Callithrix jacchus: one gene and its partner. The protein of the gene in region 2 purifies or fractionates together with the protein of the main gene of each other region. This does not show direct contact. Links are inferred from orthologs where the notes say so. Each region holds a gene or a part of one and is shown on either strand. Other genes may lie near its edges. The genes, in order: CASP2 and PIDD1.

Region 1 (3,817 bases), on a different chromosome or scaffold from region 2:
GGGAACGCACAGGCCACTTCTGCACACTGCAGCAAGGTGCGTCTCTCGTCATGTTTGCCTCTTCAGAGCCAAACAGTAATGTCTACATTAAATTTGGACAGCTTCCAAACTCTCTCTAGGACAAAAACGGCTGGGGATATGAATGAAAGAAAAGATGACATCTGAGACATCTTAACTAATGAAATAACAGCAATGACTAAAGTGGCATCTACAAAAGCCAGAACTGAACCCAAATATGGGGGAGCTTATATGCCCTCTCCCCATAACCACACTGTGTTTATTACTTCACTTGTCAGGCTCTTCACCTGCAGCCAAAACATTCCTGGCAATAGGTCCAACCACAGCGGGCTCTACAGGCAGAGGGCTTCACAGAAGAGGAGCTGGCCTGGAGTCCCACACTCAAAGGCAGAGATGATGGGCACAGGAAACAAGTCTGGGAGATTCCCACATCCCTGAGGGGGAAAAACAGAAACCGTGCATCCTGAAGATCAAAGGCTCTATCACACCTCCTGTGGTCCAGTGGCTTCCACTTGGCGTGGACGATGGGGAGGCGGCATCATGTGGGAGGGTGTCCTGGGAACAGGTAGAGGTGACGGCACAGAGTGCTGCAGTACTCAGACATCTCCTTGCACCGGTGAAACTCTGTGCCAGGGGCGTAGCCTTCCCGATCCTTGATAAGTGCATTCACCTGGAGGGGTGGAAGCAATAGGCCCAAGTCTGAGAATCTCGGGCTTCATGAGGGCAGCATAATGGGAAGGGGAGACGGACTATGAAAGGGCATTCAAGGGCAGAGGAAAACAGAGCACTGTGGAGACGTATGGGGGTCACGGAGCCTGCAGACTCACCTTAACCAGCATGTCAGCCACGTGCATATCACAAGCTCGCTCAGAAAACACTTGAGCAAGGGCCTCGATGTACCAGGAACCTCGTTTGGTGTTCCGCATGGCAGCGGTCCCTGCAACCAAAAGAGCATTAGTCAGAGTGTGAGTGCCCTCACACAGCTGGACTTCCCAAACTAGACTCGGCCATGGCACCTGCACCCTCCCCAGTCAGAGCCCAGCATGAAGAATCCAAGTTTAGGAGGGTACACTCTTTTGGATTACTGGCATTCTTTGGAGATACTATAGGTTTGTTTCCAGACCAGCTCAAGAAAGTGAGTATGGCAATAAAGCAAGTCATACGAACTTTCAGGTCTCCCGGTGTGTATGAAAGTTATGGTTACTATTCTACAGTCTATTAAGTGTGCAACAGCATTATGTCTAAAAAAATGCATATGCTTTAATTAAAACACACTTTATTGCTGAAAAATGCTAACAGAGGCATGCCAACAGAAAAATGGTGCTGACAGACACTCGATAAAGGATTGCCACAAACCTTCAATTTGTAAAAAAAATGGCTGAGCATCCCAAATCCAAAAATCTGAAATGCTTCAAAATCTGAAACTTTCCAAGCACCAACATGATGCTCAAAGGAAGTGCTCACTGGAGCATTTTACATTTAGAATACTTGGATACGGGACACTCAACTAGTAAGTATAGTGCAAAAATTCCAAAATCAAAAAAACCAAAAAAATCCACAATCTGAAACACTTCTGGTCCCAACACTTCATATAAGGGATACTCAACCAGTATCTGCAAAGCACCACAAAGCAAAGTGCAATAAAACGAGGTATGACTCAACTCTCTTGGAACTCAAAGTACCTTTGAGGCAGGCATAGCCGCATATCATGTCTGAGCGCGTGGGCAGTCTCATCCTCAGCAACTCCTCTTTACCAGCATCACTCTCCTCGCACCCAGGGGATCCTGCATGGCTCTTTCCATCTTGTTGGTCAACCCCACGATCAGTCTCATCTGTAACAAAGGCAGACAGAATGGACAATGATGTTACTTCTTCCCATCTCTCCTGGGCCTGACACAGGCAAGCCCACGTTCCCTATAACCTTGATGGGGAAGAGCCATTTCCAGCTGTTGCCTCCAACCTATGGTTGATAAACTAAAAAAAAAAAAAAAAAAAAATCATTACTCTCCCAGCATGCATCTGTTACTCAGGGGATGCCTCGCACAGGCCAGGTACCACGCTCAAGCACATGCACATCTATGTGGCTAGAGCAGTTCCCATTCTGTGTAAAACAGGGAAAATGCCCAATCAAATACTCCTTGTAAATGGAATCATCTAAGTCCACAATTCACTTGTTCAATTAACAATATGCCTGGGAGTCATAGTGCTTTTTATTGCAGTACATAATAAAATATTGATACACTTAATTTTATTACATAAACAAAAAAAGTAATAACAAATATGGTTACTATAAGTATGCTGTATAAAAAAATCACAATTTCAAACAATGTATCAAAAAAATATGATCAGTTGTTTCCAAGGTGATTTTGGTATCTTTGAAGCACTCAGTACTTGTTTGTTAATTTCATAAGATAATTAGAGCAAGCATCCAAAACTTAAGAAAAAAACCTTTTTTTAAATTTTTGAGACAGTCTCGCTCTGTTGCCAGGCTGGAGTTCAGTGGCACAACCGCGGCTCACTGCAGCCTCCACCTCCTGAGTTCAAGCAATTCTCCTGCCTCAGCCTCCTAAGTAGCTGGGACTACAGCGGTGCACCACCAAACCCAGATAATTTTTGTGTTTTTAGTAGAGACGGGGTTTTACCATGTTGGCCAAAATGGTCTCCATCTCTTGAACTTGTGATCCACCTGCGTCAGTCTCCCAAAGTGCTGGGATGCCTGGCCAATAAAAAATTTTTTTAATCTTTTTTTTTTTTTTTTCCAACAGAGATGGGGTCCCACTACATTGACCAGGCTTGTCTCGAATGCCCAGCCTCAAGGGATCCTTCCGCCTCGGCCTCCCAAAGTGTTGGGATTATATGCATGAGCCACTGTGCTTGGCCGTAAGAAAATTTTAAAAGAGAAAAAACTTAAAATGGGGAGAATTAGACTATTTTCTCCCAGAAAATTGAAGAAGATCATCCTTATTCAATTTTAGCAGTAGTTTCTCAACATACCCTGAGCAGATGCCCATGTTCTTGATAAAGGCCTTATCTATCACAAGACAGATTCTTATTTTTGATGATGATGTTTTGTTTTGGGTGTGGGCAGGGGTGCTGTCAGGAGGGAAGAGAGATAGGGAGGACTTTCAGGTCAACACATCAAAAGTAAGAGTATGCTGTTTTATAGTACTCCCTGCTCCAGGCAACAACAAAGGAGACTAAGAAGGAAGGGAAGCTTCAAGAATTGTGGGGAAAAGGACCAAAACGCAGATTTAATGAAATTGTGTCAAGCAACTGCCAGGTGTTGGGCACTATTTGACTTTAATCCCTGGGGACAGAGTGAAGAGAAAACTCCTGCCGTCATAGGGCTTACATTCCAGTTTAGAAGCCAATTGGGGCAGGGGTTGGAGCTTTTTCTAGGTATTAATTATATTAACCAAATACAGCAGGAACACAGGAGAACTCAAGTTTTCTAAGATCAGTTGGCTACTGGTCATTCCTTGAAGGATTTAATTTCAGAGAAGTTGGAGAGACAGCAAAAGATTCAGATTACTCCAGAAAAGAGCAATTACTCCTTATCCAGATCCCATAGTGCATTAAATCCCTGGATATAGGAGGAGAAAATGACCACAACTAATAGTTAGTAATGACACCAAGTTAATAGTAATAGGCCAAGATAAAGAGAAAGGAGAATTCCTCTCTCACCTTTATATCACAGACCCATCAATCAATGCCATTAGTTCTTTTGTCACAATATCCTCCTATTTGTTTTTTACATGATACCCACAGTTTTTTAGGCAGATTAATTTTCACCCATTCA
Region 2 (2,610 bases):
CGTCCTGGGGGAGGCATGGTCTCCAGGGCAGAACAGGTGCTCCGTGGAAACGCCGGGGCCAGCGCAGAGGGCCAGTGGGCAGGTGGAAGCACAAGTCGCCCTGCCGAAAAGCGACTTTGTATCCAAAGCAGCCCACCTGGAGCCAGGCGCCTGCAATCTCAGCACTTGGGGAGGCCAAGGCGGGCAGATCACTTGAGGTCAGAAGTTCGAGACTGGCCTGGCCAACATAGTAAACCCCCATCTCTACTAAAAACACAAAACTTAGCCAGGCATGCTGGCAAGTGCCCCTAGCCTAAGGTACTCGGGAGGCTGAAGCAGGAGAATCGCTTGAACCTGGGAGGCAGGGGTTGCAGTGTGCCGAGATCAGGCCACTGCACTCCAGCCTGGGAGACAGGCTCTGTCTCAAAAGAAAAACGAAGTAGCCCATTTGGGCTACCTTGTAGCACGGGTCCTCTCTCCCAGGAAGATCAGGACCCACAGGAGGCCCCAGGCACAGTGGAAGGGGACAGGACCAGGCTGTGGGGCATGTGTTCAGGCAGGGCTCCCTCCTAGCAGGGCTGGGCCTCTGATGACCCTGCCAACCCGCTCCCTGCCCTCCAGTGCTTTCTCCATCCAACAAATCAAGCTCTGAAACAGCAAATCAAACAGTGCAGGTTTGATGTGCACGGAGAACCCCGACCCCAAACATTGGAGAGGCCTGAAGGTGGGGGCTCTGCCCATCCTCTGGGAAAAGTCCAGGCCAGCCGGAAGTCTGTGGGGCCTAGGCCTGGGCAGGCTCTGAGGGCTGTGGGGCCGACGAGCCAGGCACCTCGGGGTCCTTGGGGGCCAAGCCCGTGCGCTGGATGCTGTCCTGGTACTTGCGGCGGCCAAGCTCCAAGACCGCCCGGACCTCTTCAGCCAGGTCCTGCCGGTCACTCTGCTCCAGGGCCTGCACCAGGTGCCCCACAGCTCCCGGGTGCCCAGCCTGACGCTCAGCCCAGGAGAAGAGCATGTGACGGATCTGCCCGTCCAGATCATCCCTGTGGGCAGAGGACGGGGACAGAGGGAGTCCTGCCCACCTGCCCAGTTCCCCCACCATGCTCTGCCTCAGAGTGTCGGGGAGTTCCCTGCTGCCTGGGCCAACCTTGGCCAGATGGTTCCTTTCCAGCCTGGTGTTTGCCCTTCCCCCACCTCCTCTGGAAGAAACAGGCCCGCCAGGCAGCATCAGGGGGGCCCTCCAGACAGCCAGTGGAAGCCTCACCGGAACTCGTGCCGGATGCGCTGCAGCTCTCGGTAGGACACGCCCAGGTGCAGGGCCACGGCCGGCCAGTCCGGACCCAAGCGCCCAGCCACGCTCAGGAGGTTGCTCTGCGTCAGAAAGCCGGTCTCAGCATCTCCCAGGTTCAGGGGCGCCAAGGAGAGGCCAGCCCCTCGCCGTGGCCCTTCGGACCCCCGAAGCCTCTGTTGGAAGGAGAAAGAGCAGAAAACCCTGGGCTCTGCCCCAGACTCCACCACGTGCCCCTGGGCTCCGCCCCGGGCCTCAGTCCTGCCCCCACCCCTCCACTGTCCCTCAGTCCCACCGGTAGCTTGATGGGCAGAGTGGCCATCCACAGGGCGTCTGCACCCTTCCTCTGCCGGGCAGCCTCCGCCTCCTCGGGCACCTGCACGGGCACTGCGCCACGGTAGAAGGACACCTGAGGGGGCATTGAATGGGGTTCAGAGCTCGGCCCTGTGCCCAGGCAGCCTGGGGGGCCCACCCCCTTGCCCACCTGGCCCCGCACAGCCTGAGCCTCCCGATCCAGGGTGGTGGTCACGTACACCTCCTTCACATTCTTCAGGTGTGAGTAGAAGACAAAGCAGATTCTGCCCTCCACACAGTCAGGGCGGTCTAGGGGATGGGGTGGTGGGACGGGGCTGAGCAGGGGACACAGGGAGGACAGCAGGGCTCCCTCTCCAGGACGGGGAGGCCCTACCAGCATCCACGTCAATGCCTCGCTCGAAGGCCGCAAAGAACTCCTCGCCCTCGAACATCTCCACCGTGTCGGAGGGCTCCGGGCCACGGTAGCGCTCCAGCAGCCGCCGAAGGGTGGCGTCCACCTGCAGGCACGCTGTGTAGCTCGGTAGCCAAAACCCGGCACCCCAGCCCTCCGGCCACCGCCCTGAGCCCCCGAGCCCATGTCCCCACCTTGTTTCGGGGCAGGCACTGCAGCAGGACCTGCTCAGGGTCCCGGCGCCGCTGCAGGGCGATGAGGTTCACACGGTGCAGCCGCAGCCGCTCCCAGGCCTTCCGAGCCAGGCCTCCCACGCAGTTCTTGGTGGTGTACCAGAGCCAGTACCTAGGAGGGCGGGGGGTGAGGGAGGCTGTAAAGACGGGGAGGGGGCTGAGGAAGCTGGGGGCACTGACTGTGGGTAACCCCGGATCTGTGCGCCGAGGAAGAAGAGCTCAGCAGGTCCCCAGCATGATTAGTGCCTGGAGAATATCTCAGTTTATGGTGTTACTGCTCAGTCATTTCCTTTATATAATCCTTTATATATAATCACGTATCAATTTAGAGTCGGAACAATTAGTGCTTGAAGAGTATCTTACTACCCAGTTATTTCTCTCTATCTGTACAATTATATCTTAGATCA

The links.
Region 1: the proteins of PIDD1 (region 2) and CASP2 purify together in Homo sapiens (affinity purification with western blotting; 5 studies listed by BioGRID and IntAct, with this or other methods). This does not show direct contact. The link is inferred for Callithrix jacchus from reciprocal best matches to the Homo sapiens genes PIDD1 and CASP2.

Annotation. Positions count from the first base shown.
Region 1 is NC_133512.1:104,204,698-104,208,514, forward strand, and holds part of CASP2 (caspase-2), read right to left. Parts: intron 1,851-3,817; coding exon 1,701-1,850; intron 956-1,700; coding exon 846-955; intron 689-845; coding exon 557-688; 3' UTR 1-556. UniProt on the Homo sapiens protein: Is a regulator of the cascade of caspases responsible for apoptosis execution. Might function by either activating some proteins required for cell death or inactivating proteins necessary for cell survival.
Region 2 is NC_133511.1:131,105,645-131,108,254, reverse strand, and holds the end of PIDD1 (p53-induced death domain-containing protein 1), read right to left. Parts: intron 2,316-2,610; coding exon 2,165-2,315; intron 2,077-2,164; coding exon 1,953-2,076; intron 1,868-1,952; coding exon 1,560-1,867; coding exon of another isoform or gene 1,441-1,559; coding exon 1,241-1,440; exon of another isoform or gene 1,218-1,240; intron 1,020-1,217; coding exon 761-1,019; 3' UTR 641-760; downstream 1-640. UniProt on the Homo sapiens protein: Component of the DNA damage/stress response pathway that functions downstream of p53/TP53 and can either promote cell survival or apoptosis.